2 linked regions of the Arabidopsis thaliana genome follow. The protein of the gene in region 1 purifies or fractionates together with the protein of each later gene. This does not show direct contact. Each region holds a gene or a part of one and is shown on either strand. Other genes may lie near its edges. The genes, in order: NOXY38 and PKR2.

What was found.
Region 2: the proteins of NOXY38 (region 1) and PKR2 fractionate together in Arabidopsis thaliana (co-fractionation; one large-scale study listed by BioGRID). This does not show direct contact.

What each region holds. Positions count from the first base shown.
Region 1 is NC_003074.8:19,331,147-19,335,989, forward strand, and holds the start of NOXY38 (tetratricopeptide repeat (TPR)-containing protein), read left to right. Parts: upstream 1-1,681; 5' UTR 1,682-1,876; intron 1,877-2,079; 5' UTR 2,080-2,085; coding exon 2,086-2,392; intron 2,393-2,541; coding exon 2,542-2,603; intron 2,604-2,806; coding exon 2,807-2,996; intron 2,997-3,076; coding exon 3,077-3,217; intron 3,218-3,312; coding exon 3,313-3,469; intron 3,470-3,549; coding exon 3,550-3,743; intron 3,744-3,852; coding exon 3,853-3,954; intron 3,955-4,554; coding exon 4,555-4,690; intron 4,691-4,758; coding exon 4,759-4,843. Other genes in the region: AT3G52120 (SWAP (Suppressor-of-White-APricot)/surp domain-containing protein / D111/G-patch domain-containing protein), read left to right, coding at 7-201, 309-487, 566-592; AT3G52130 (Bifunctional inhibitor/lipid-transfer protein/seed storage 2S albumin superfamily protein), read right to left, coding at 865-1,236, 1,374-1,376. UniProt on the Arabidopsis thaliana protein: mRNA-binding protein involved in proper cytoplasmic distribution of mitochondria. Together with REC2, REC3 and FMT/CLU, contributes to the establishment of the cellular volume devoted to the chloroplast compartment.
Region 2 is NC_003075.7:15,429,926-15,437,720, reverse strand, and holds the start of PKR2 (chromatin remodeling factor), read right to left. Parts: upstream 6,194-7,795; coding exon 6,074-6,193; intron 6,008-6,073; coding exon 5,850-6,007; intron 5,838-5,849; coding exon of another isoform or gene 5,768-5,837; intron 5,728-5,767; coding exon 5,554-5,727; intron 5,345-5,553; coding exon 5,130-5,344; intron 5,049-5,129; coding exon 4,953-5,048; intron 4,858-4,952; coding exon 4,721-4,857; intron 4,640-4,720; coding exon 4,481-4,639; intron 4,386-4,480; coding exon 4,278-4,385; intron 4,121-4,277; coding exon 4,070-4,120; intron 3,965-4,069; coding exon 3,877-3,964; intron 3,776-3,876; coding exon 3,630-3,775; intron 3,520-3,629; coding exon 3,422-3,519; intron 3,333-3,421; coding exon 3,194-3,332; intron 2,965-3,193; coding exon 2,795-2,964; intron 2,626-2,794; coding exon 2,559-2,625; intron 2,464-2,558; coding exon 2,350-2,463; intron 2,252-2,349; coding exon 2,142-2,251; intron 2,020-2,141; coding exon 1,938-2,019; intron 1,694-1,937; coding exon 1,499-1,693; and 14 more. UniProt on the Arabidopsis thaliana protein: Chromatin remodeling factor that represses the expression of embryonic trait genes upon and after seed germination and thus enables the developmental switch to post-germinative growth.

The sequences.
Region 1 (4,843 bases):
TTTCAGAAACTTCCTCCACAGACCCTGGAAAGAGAGGTCATCACATGGGTGATTATATCCCACTTGAGGAGCTAGATAAGTTCCTTTCAAAGTGCAATGACGCAGCTGCACAAAAAGCCACAAAGGAGGCTGCTGAGAAAGCGAAGATCCAAGCAGATAATGTTGGACATAAACTCTTGTCAAAAATGGGTTGGAAAGAAGGTGCTTACTTGCATCACTCTATCTGTAAATTGGTGCCCTTGTTTCTTTCTGTATCTTGTGCCTTTATGGAGACAAAGAGCTTAGAAAATTGGAGGAGTGGATTACAGGTGAAGGTATAGGAAGCTCCAGAAAGGGTATGGCAGACCCTATAATGGCAGGCGATGTAAAGACAAACAACTTGGGAGTTGGTGCTTCCGCTCCAGGAGAAGTCAAGCCTGAGGATGATATATACGAGCAGTACAAGAAGCGGATGATGCTGGGTTACAAACACAGACCCAATCCACTGGTATTTTATCCATCTTTAGCTCCATTCTTTTTGTGATAGCACTTCTTTTACTCACCATCTGTCTCAATTGTACTACAGGGAAATCCCAGGAAGGCGTATTACTAAGGATCAAATCAATGTGTTATGCGCAATTATTATCTTTGGTTCACCTCAGCACCGTCTGAGCTTTGCTTTTCTATTATAAAGAATGTTCAAGCTTTTAGATTACTGATATATTGAAGTGTTGGTATGCATTGAATTTGCGTTTCAGTGTGCAAATAGATCTCTTTGACAGACATATCAGTTGAAATACAATGGATTTGTTATTGCTAATGACTGAGATTTTGATTCGATTGTCATAACTTTATTAATGTTTTGGAAGTCTGGGACATAATACACTAAGCAGCAAGGTTATTAAAGAGAAAGGTAAATGAAAAAAGAAAAGAAAAGAAAGATGATATGTCCTTCCTAGTTGATGATATCGCAGGGAGGGAAATTAGCAGAGCATCTCTGAGGGAGCTGAAGAGCCATGGAGCGGTCAATGCCAGAGAGTGGAGGTCCATTGGCAAGGAGGCAAAGACAAGGACGACCAAGTGTGACAACGGCAGAGCAACATATCTCGGTCGGTGGGATCGGGCTAAAAGGAGCAACTGCTGCTCTACATGGTATGAGCTGTACCAGCGCGGAGAAAAATGTCCTGCTGCATCCTCCCACTTCCTCCTCGGGCAACATTGGTGGTGGAGGTGGTTGTTGCAGGCCCTCTTGCTGCGCTGCAACAATGGTAAGAACGGTTATGGTCATGAGCAGCGTCATTGCCAACCCAACTCTCATAGCTTTCATCATCATGTAAACAGCGATGGTAATGAGATGACGCAACAACGAGATGCTGCTGGTTTATATACCATACCATATAATGAAAGGGGTAACAATGTCATGCCGTTTCACACCTCTCTCCTACCTCACAACCAAATAGCCTCACGATTACTCCGTGTGTGTGTCTCCACTGTCCAGAGCTTTAATCTTCGATCAAACTCACAAAAATTATAACATATCACCGGTTCCTCCTAGCTACAAATATTAAACCCATAATAATAATATTGTGGTCAGTGATTATTCTCACCTACTGTGGGTATCTAAAAACTTGCTTAAAATTCTGATGATTTGCAATAAATTTCGCATCTTTCCCGCTTTAAAAAAGCCCAAACAAAGCCCATTAGAAACCCAAAAAGGAGGGATTGGTTTGTTATTCTCTGTATCTCTCTCCTAGTATTCAGCTCTAACACATAGAGAGGAGTCAGAATATCATCAGCCGCCTCTTTCACTTCAACCCTCCTTAAACCTCATCTCTTTCCTACTCCGCCGCTCTCTCCGTCGTCTCTCCCGTTACTCCATTTCTCTCGACCCCTCCAGGTAATTCCTTTTCAGATCCTCTACTAGACCCTTTACTTATTTTAGTGAATTGGTCTTTCTCCATTTCCATCTATCCCTTACGTATCTGTGACTTTTTCCCCCCTTTTGGATTGTATTCCTCATCTTCCTCTGTTTCCGTCAAATGAATGATCTTTCTGAAATTCAATCACTTTTGTATCGTTTCTGAATCTTTCCTCTAATAGGTGAAAATGGCTGGGAAGTCGAACAAATCGAAGGCCAAGAGAGCGGCTCAGAGCACTACCACCAATTCCACTACTGATGTTAAATCCGATGCTCCTGCTCCTCCTGTTGCTGCTACTGTTCCTGCTACTGCTCCGGTTACTGCTGCTGCTGCTCCGGTTGCTACTGCTGCTGCTCCGGTTACTGCTCCCGATAATGGCACCCTCACTGCTGTTGACTCTGCGGTGCCTGAAGCCAATGAAGTTGCTCCTACGATTCCTAAGGCTGACGAAAGTGAGTCACAAGTTGAAAATAACGATGCCCAACCCAAGCAAGGTTAGCTCTAATGCTTTTATTAGTAAATCACCCAATTTTTTAGTATATCTCAATTTGAAGTGTCAGTGTGGTTTTCTCGTAAGCTAAGTAGATTCATCCACACCCTCTTGTGTATTGCTTTTAAGTGTCTAATTTTTCTGCTTTCACAGGTGAACTCCGTCTTTATCCTGTGTCTGTCAAAACACAAAGTGGGGGTAAAATGGAGCTTCAAGTGAGTTTTTTTTTTTTTTTTTTTTTTTTTTTGCTTTCTCGCTTATATACTATTGGCTAGTCTTAGAAAATCAAATAGTGTTTTAGTTTCGTCAGGGATTTAATACCTGTAGATATTTCTTGTAAAGCATTACCTTTTCCTACTGGTTTCTCTTATATATATTGGTGTAAATTACTAAATCTGTCCAATGTTTGTGTTTTCAGTTGAACCCTGGAGACTCTGTGATGGATATAAGGCAGTTCCTCCTTGATGCTCCAGAGACGTGCTACTTCACTTGTTATGAGTTGTTACTCCGCAATAAAGATGGAGAGACTCATCATTTGGAAGACTACAATGAGATCTCTGAAGTAGCTGACATCACCATTGGTGGTTGCTCCTTGGAAATGGTTGCAGGTAGCTAAGTCTGTCTTTTCTTCATTTTTTTGGGTTGAGACTAAAAACAGAAAGTTGACTTGTTATGTTTCTTCCCACAGCATTGTATGATGATAGATCTATCAGAGCGCATGTTCACCGTGCCAGAGATCTTTTGTCTCTTTCAACACTTCACTCTTCTCTATCAACAACACTTGCCTTGCAGTATGACGCAGCACTGAACAAAGTTCAGAACCCTGGAGGTTTCAAATTTGAATCATTCTCTTAATATTGTTTTGCTTTGCTAATATTTTCATGCACTGCGAAGGATTTATTTATGGCCTCTATATTGAAACAGATAAACCAAAGTCTGACGTTCCAGAGCTGGAATGTTTGGGTTTTATGGAAGATGTGCCTGGCTCTCTCAAGAAGTTAATAAATTCTACATCAGAAGAGATCAGATCTGTGGAAAACATTGTGTTCTCATCGTTCAACCCTCCTCCAAGCCACAGAAGGTATTGAGCAACTTATTTTAGCATTTGTAAAGGCATAAATTTACCATTTATGTTGTTTCTTATGAATATATTTGTTGCAGGCTTGTAGGAGATCTAATATATTTAGATGTTGTGACCTTGGAAGGTAACAAGTACTGCATAACAGGCACAACCAAAACATTTTATGTTAATTCCAGCTCAGGGAATATTCTCGATCCAAGACCAAGTAAATCTGGATTTGAAGCAGCTACGCTGATTGGACTATTACAAAAGCTTAGCTCTAAGTTTAAAAAAGGTGGGAAACAGCTTATACACCATTCTTCTTAAGTCTATTCTTTACTCTTTTTATGACGTGATAATCATTCAATCTGTTGATTAGCTTCTATTTTTCCTTTTATTTGAAGCTTTCCGTGAAGTCATGGAAAAGAAAGCCTCTGCTCATCCGTTTGAAAATGTTCAATCGCTTTTGCCACCACACTCATGGCTAAGAACTTATCCAGTACCCGGTGAGTTTAATTTTAGTAGCATTTGAATTGTCATCCATCTTGCACAGACGTACTTGTTTATTATAGTATACTTGCGTTCTGCACAGTAGTATGGTTTAGTACCTTAACTCTCTCCTTTCGTGGCTATCTCAACTGTTCTTTCAGAGGTCTTTACTCTGTGTTATTCAGTTTTATGCACTGATAATGGTTCTGAGATATTCATATGGCAGCCATAGAAGTAGTGTGGTTGAAGGAGTCCTTGTTTTTAATTGCAGAATATGCAATATATCCTTGAAGTCCCTCTCTAGTGCATTCTCTTTGTGACTGCCTTTTAATGGCCAAGTCATATCTTGCACAATCTCGAATAATATTTTATTTTATTTTTTATTATTTATTTATTTATTTATTTATTTTTTTATCTCGAATAATATTCATTTTGATGTTTTTAGTCTTAACAAAATTTTGTAAATTAATTCTCTTAATAGAATGTGGTCCATTTCGTTGCGTGTTTATTGACTATGTACTAATTTTCTGTTTTATATATTGAACGTGTGCTTTGTAGCTACACTTGAATTAGTTTTTCTATTAAATCTAAGCACGGAATGTTGTATCTGGACTCAGATCACAAGCGTGATGCAGCGAGAGCAGAAGAAGCACTTACCATTTCCTATGGTAGTGAGTTAATTGGCATGCAGAGAGATTGGAACGAAGAGTTGCAATCTTGCAGAGAGTTCCCTCACACTTCTCCTCAAGAGAGGTACAAGCGATACCTAACTACAATGATTTCTCGGTAGCATGAAATTTTGAGATTCTGTTCCATTTCAGATTTGTTTCCTTAATTGAAAATTTCCTTCGTTGCAGGATATTACGAGACAGGGCACTTTACAAAGTGTCTTCTGATTTTGTCGAT
Region 2 (7,795 bases), on another chromosome or scaffold:
TTCAGGTCTTTGCAGGCAACCTCTTGGAACCCTATCTCTTCGTCTTCAACGATGGCCACCCATCTACCATAGCCATGCCTATATTTTTACAAAGTTTCAAGAATGGAAGCAACATGCATGTGAGCAAACAAACAAAGAGAAACAAAATCAAGTAAGGATAATCGTTGAAGGGTTCTTACTTGGAAACAGCAGGAATCAGTATCCTATCATGTTCTTCCTTAGAAAATGCTCCATTTCTCAAATTGTACTTACTGATGACGTAGTTAGAGAAAACAGGTGCTGTCGGATGGTTGTCCAAAAATTGACACTGTCACATCAAACATTGAGAAGTGAGCTCAAACAAACAAGAGAGGACCAAACCAAATTTTATCAAACGAGAAACTTTCAGATATATAAACCACATGCAAAAACTTTAAGAAAGAATGCAATGAATCTTCTCAAGTTTTGGTTCGGTTACTAGTGCTAATAAGTAACTGTTTAAATTCCATAGACACTGGAAAATGGTAGGCTTACCTTCTCCTTTACTAGCATCATAAAAGTCATGCTCACTAGTAGCTCGTCACTGCTTATCCCTTCTTTGGGAACTCCATCTGCATAGACCATTGCCGTAATAACTTAAAAATATGATAACAGAAATAAGCAATTGGATATATCTAAGAATACCAACAAACATATAATCAATAAAGTGATAAATTACCTTTAAAATTTGTAGAATTATCGGTAGGGTTTTCGGCAATGTGTTTCAAAAATAAGATTCCATACCTGAGAAACAACAAATTTAACAAGTGTCAATGAACAACTGTTGGTTTTTGTAAAGCAGCTGAAAATAAGAGCATAAATGGCTTTAAGTCGTCAATACTTATTTATCTCGTCATAGGTCTTCATGTATAAGGGATTAACAAACTCCTTCCAATCAAAGTTTCCAGCTCCATACCTACAAAAGTTGTTTTGAGACACTTATGATATACTATGATGCTTTGAGAGACGCCAAACCACAATTTAGACAACATTATTAGAAAGAAGATATACCTCTTAAACGTACGTAAAAATATATCCCTCTCAGTCTCGTTAAATCCCAGCACCATGAGATATCTCCCTTCGCCTTCCATCAAAGGTATTTCCTCCGAATTATCTTACAGCAAAATAGATTTTCAAAGTTACTTAACTTGTAAACCTCTGAAACCAACAAGATGTCATCTTCAATGCAATATTTGGAAAAGTATAGTACCGCGAGCCCTTTTTCTGTAAGGCCTTGTAACCGTCCTCGGCTTTCTCTGTCGAGCTGCTTCGGGTTCATCTGCTTCCTCCTCCTCATCAGAGGTCACTTTTAAATCATCAAGACAATATTCGTCCTCCTCATCAGAGATTTCTTCTAAACCATCAAGATCATCTTCAGCATACATCACCTAGTAATATTAACAAAAGCAGGAATAAGAACACTTGTGCTAAAGGACATAAAACGATTCTGGAGAGGTGGGATCAAGAAGAGTATACGTACCTGCTTGCCGTTTCTCTTCCTCTTTCCAAGAGCACTGAGCTCCTCAGCTTGTTGCACTTCATATTTGTCTTTCAGCAAATCTTTCCAGTGACTTGTTCTATCAGCATTTCTTACTGAAGAATTGTTTTCTATAGCTTGTGCCTCCTCTAATGCTGCAGCCTCATTTTCATCATCTACATACTCAAAACTAGCCACCTAATATACAGGAAATAACATCAAAAAGAGAAATTATATTTGGAATTAATGCCACTAAATATATGTGTATAACTTAATATTGCAGGAAAAAAGGGTGTATATATATGCATGCACATGCACATGATGATTCTTGTAGCATATCCATTGAATTATTACTCTCTAAACAATTCTCTGGACCTTAACAAATATTGGATCATCTGATCAATAACCACTCATCTAGAAAGAGAAAGAGAAAGAAGTAAACCTTGAAATTCTTTAAAAAATCAGTTTCCTCCTCATCATCCAGTGAGACCTCCACAGCATCTACATGATTACGATCTAGCAACCTGCAGAAGAAAAGGTGTGGCTACAAATCATGAACATTCCATGCAATTGTATGGTGGCTTTGAACTATTAAAGTAAAATCACTAGGAAAGTAAAAACAAAGAAAGAAAGAAGAATATATTACTGTTCGATAGCAGCATCATCGTAATGGATTTTTCCAGACCTCCCTGCTTCATCATTCTCTTCAGAGAAAAGTTCCTTGGAACCATATTTGATGATGTCATCTAACTCGTCCTAATTACAGTCAGGGATAGAAAACAGTAATTAATTAAACCTTGTAGCAATAAGAATCAATAACAAATCGAACAAGGAATACATATATATATATATACCTGACAAAGATGTTGTTTTCCCACGACGAGATGCTCTAGAAGCATCTTGTTCTTGGTTATCTCCATCATCCGTTCTTCTACAGTACCTTTGTGAATCAGTCTGTAGATCATTACCTAAATAAGAAAATATAGGCTTAATCAGTGACATAGCTAGAAAAAGAATGAAATAGCAAGTGGATGATTCCACATTGACGCCATGAAAAGAGAACCTTATTTGTTTGGCCAAGCCGATGAACTCTAGCCATAGCCTGGAGATCAGCATGAGGATTCCAATCACTACAACACCAGTGAAAAAATCATGTCAATAAATTCATCACAACCATCTTAAATGCCTCTACAATATCTTTCCGCTATTAACTTAGAAGATCCAAACACTCTGTTATTCTGGAAAGAAACTTCCAACAAGCACTTTATCATTTCATTAAACAGATATTGGAACTCAAACCTGTCATAAATGATGACTGTATCAGCTGTTGCAAGGTTTATCCCTATTCCACCAGCTCTTGTACTGAGCAAAAAACAGAACCGGTTCGAGTTTTCTGCATTAAACCGATCTATTCTTACTTGCCTCTCAGGTCCACTGATCTTTCCATCAATCCGTTCATAATTCCAATTCTGACAAAATAAAAATAAATTTGTTACGGCTCAATATCATACAATAGTTTTTCCTTAATTGCATATAAGCAAATTATAAAAAGAAAGTTACTGTTCCTTGCGTCTCAAGATATATTAAAAAGTAACTTTTAAGTGGAAGGAAAAGATTATATCGCAAGTCATTTGCAGAGCGACAACACCAACTGAACAAATCAATAGGTCGACAAACAGATATAGCAGATTAGGTTACCTTGAAAGTGAAGTAGTCTTCCAAAAGGTAAAGGGTGTGTTGGAATTGGGTATAGATTAGCACTCTGTGCCCCTGCTCTTTGAGTTTGACCATCATTTTGTCTAACAGTTGCAACTTTCCGGAAGCTTCCAATAGTTTTCTTTAGAACAATTCAGAAAAGGTCAAGCAAAAGTCAGCACAAAATACTAAAAAGGAATCAATACGTCAAGATTAGTGATCAAATGTTACGTAAAAGCTTCATTTGCGTCTTCAAATCTTGGCTCAAAGTCTGGTAACAGATACGGATGAGAGCAAACTTGGCGTAATTTCATTAGCACGTTAGATATCTGAAACAGTTTAACCAGCCGAATTATCCTACCAAGTACAGTCTAAAAGGTTCCTAAACCAAGACAATATATATACATCTGCATAAGCACAAGAGATCCACAAAACTTACTTTAGCATCTCGTTTCTTTGTCAAGACTTGATAATTATTGGTAATAACAGCTTTGTACACTTCTTTTTGCTGGCTGCTCATATCAACACGCAAAATGAGCTCCTTCTTTGGGGGCACCTTATCCTTGAGCACGTCTTTCTTTAACCCTGCAATAACAATAAAAGCAAGATTAATCACCATGGTTATAGTTATCCCTTGGTGCGAGACTTCAAACGAAATGTTCTTAATAAGATTTGTTGGTTAATACTTCTGAGCAGATGCGGAGCCAACATTTGGTGGAGTCTTGAAATCTGCTCCTCTTTATTTATATCTTGAAACTTCTCCAAACTCCCAAACTGCAAGCATGGAAAATAAAATAATTAAAGCAAGCTTGTATGCTTATAATGACTATTTTAGAGAATAAACTAAACTTATTTTATATGCGTTATCTTTTGGCTAACCTTGTCCGCATCAAGAAAATGCATCAGAGCGAAAAGTTCATTCAAGTTGTTCTGAAAAAACACCAAATAAGTATTAGTGATACAAAAGAATTGATACCATAATAATTATAGTACTATTTCAGAGATCATAACTAATTAGGTAAACTTTAATGTAGGATTGAATGAACCTTGGGAAAGTCGAAGAACCAAAAATCGACTAACGACGAACCTGAAGTGGTGTTCCGGTCAACAGAACGATATGCTTACTTGTAAACTGACTCAATGAAGAGTACAGCTTTGACTTCTGATTTTTCAACCGATGGCCTTCATCAATAATCTAACCAAGAGAATGATATTCTAAGCAAAATATGAGATCTAAAAGAAAGACATACAAAGTATATAGTATCATTCAGATAATTAATACAGAAATACCATGCACGTCCACTTGATTGGACTCAGAACTGATATCCCTGGGTGAACCATCTCATACGTCGTGAGCAAGACATCAAACTTACTTTTACGCCCTTCAGAGAAGTAGAACTCATGTTCCCATATAACATCACGTGCTTCCGAATCCCCAGTGTACATAACCTGCATATATCATACGATGAAAACATTAATAAATAACTAATACCGTATATGTGACATATATATACGAAACATGATACATACCACATTCATATGTGGTGCCCAGGTGGCAAATTCCCTCTCCCAGTTACGGATGGTTGAGAGAGGAGCAACAACTAGATGAGGAGATAAGTTTTCCTCGAACAAAGAGGCCAAGAAGGCAATGCTCTGAATAGTTTTGCCTGCAGCAACCACAAAACCAATCTTATTTTACACAAATGATAAAAGCAAAGCCTATGAATAACCCCAAAAAAGAAATGGATTTTTGAAGACGTACCTAGTCCCATTTCATCCGCAAGGATTACATTGGTTTTCTTGGACCATGAATACCTTAGGAAATTCAGCCCTTCGAGCTGGTATGTATGCAATGTGCCTTAAAAACATATAAGGTAAGTAAATCAATAACATTATACAGAAACTGTATACAAATTGTTCAAGTAGTCTAATAAAATACCTGTAAGAAATTCAGGAGTAAGATCAAACTGTTTGAATTCCTCTCGATTTCTCTCATTTTCGACATATTTATCTCTACGAGAGCTAGAGTTTATATCCTTAAACCTTTGGATTTCATTCTGGAAATCTGAGATGTCAGATTCAGATTCCCAGTAACTATTTCTGTAAGAAAGTTCTTTGTACTTCACCAGATACTCCTCCCCATCATCTCCTTCCCTACATCATATCACAAACAAAAAAACCATAATTGTCAAAACGAAATCCATTAAGTGTCACACTTTTCTACACAGAAGATAGAGAAAGAAATATAAACGCATGAATAAATAATCACAAAGGAAAAAAAAAAAAAAAAAAACATAATTGTCACAACGAGGTCTATCAAGTTAAGGACATAAAAACAAAGGACAAGACTTGAATCACTTAACCGGCAAGCAATAATCCGGTCAACAGTTTTCCATTCAGGACGAATGGCGATAAACTCATGAGCTCCGTTCTCAGCGATGAATACGTCCATAGCAGCGTTAAACCTGGTCACCCTTAATTTTAGTTTTAAATGAGGATGGGACTTGTAAGCCTTCTCGAACTCCTGCTCGGGCACCCTAAGAATTGACATTAATAATCAAGTGATGATAAGATAACCAGACAAGAGAAGCAACAAAAACATAATAATCGACATGTTTAATTAAATACAACACGATATCGCATATTGCTGGGAATTTACCAAGAGCAGTGCAAGTACGATAACCCCTTCCACTTCACAAGATATTGTTTCACGACAACTAGGGTTGGTGTCCCGTTGTCAGAAGAATTCGGATTGTTAGATGCAGTAGGACGCCATTCACGGTCCAAAATCTTTTCAATCTCGCCAAGAGGACAATCCTGAAATGGATCAAATAATTAAAAGTCACTGCAGATCTATAATTTCACAACAAGACAAAGACATACCTGGTTACTTCCGCCTGTTTCTTCAACTTGTTCTTCACGAATGTATTCATCCAACTTGTCTTCAATATAATCTGGCTTTGGCCCGGTTCGTCTACGAAGCCTTTGCAACAGATTAGCCATTTCTCTGCATGAAAAAACCACAACAATGTGTTTGGTCAGTAAATATGATTCATTAAATTTTTAGATAAAATCGTAACAAGAAAGAGTGAAAAGAGAAATATCTCAGAAAATCTAAGACCAAGGAGGAGCGTACAAGATGAAGAAAATGCAAGGGAGCTAAAACGCAAGAGGGGTGATTCTTAAGGATATGATAAACGTCTGTTTATATATATAGAGAGGGAGTGGTCATTATTCTTTATTTCCTTTTAATTTTGTTTTATGGAGATAACACTACCTTTTTTTGTCAATTTCAATGTAAAGGTGAATTAATTTGTAACCAGAAGGGGATGCAGATGTAGTTGTGGCTGTGAGAAATTTTTAGAAGTGAGTCCTAGTGGTTTTTGTGAATGAAATTGTACCTAAAACCGTTAAGATTACGCGGCAATTTTGAAATTTCAACAAGAAATTCGATGATGATTTAAAATAAAATTATCAAAATAACCATATATTGAATAATTAAATATTTAAATATCATTAAAACAAAAAGTTATTTTATTTTATTAGTATAAAAAGTTGTTTGATTTATTAAGTTTCCTTGACACTGGTCAAACTATAAATTTATATGCTTACCAAAAAAAAACTATAAATTTATATTGTATATATACATTTATGTAACATAATTAAAAAATATATATCATATTTAGGGAAGAAATTAATTTAAAGTTTTTTTTATTTAAGATTCTTTGTCTGAATGGGTTGACCAGAAATAAGATTTAAATATTTAGTTATATCTTTAGTATCTAAAGATATGTGTCTGAAAACAAATAAATGAAACTTAAATAAAAATCTATTCAATGCAATATAATGTGATTTGTTTCTATAGAATAAAACAAATATTAAAGAGAGGCATGCAAATGGTAAGTATGAAAAAGGTTATAAAAGAAGAAGGAAATAAAGATTAGATTCATGCACTGTAATTTTGTTTAAAAATTAGCATTATCTTGAGTCTTGACCACAAAACCAAAATTAGTCGTCCGTTACAAATTGGAAAGGGATTTGGTTGTGACCAATAGTATGAAGATGGTTTACTTAGTTTCCAATACTCTATGGACAAATGGTGCATTTTTGTATTTGTTAGTTTTTTTAAGAGGTCCACATTTCAATTGATTAACGCTTTTTAAATTAACTAACACTTAAAAAAAGTTTTGTTACAAAGTATTATATAGATTTTAATTAATTGTAACAGCAAAAGCTTTCATAGCTCAGTTGGTTAGAGCACCCGTTTAGTAAGCGGGAGGTCTTGAGTTCAACTCTCAATGAAAGCAAATTTTTGTTATTTTACAATTAAAATCAGTTTTGTTCATTTTTATTAATCTTTAAAATAGATATGGTGTGAATGTTTCTCTTTATGCTTGGGCCTGTGGCCCTTTTTGGGCTTTGAAAAGCCTTGTAAGTTGACATAAAATCACGCTTATCAATTAGAGAATTATTAAAATATCCACCGAAATGTTTTCGGTGATAATGGGCTTTGAGTGCGTACCAGTAAAAGAAGGTTGAGACTTGAGAATAGCAATTAGCAGCGATCTGACCAAACAACACAACACAGTTAAATCATTCTCGAAT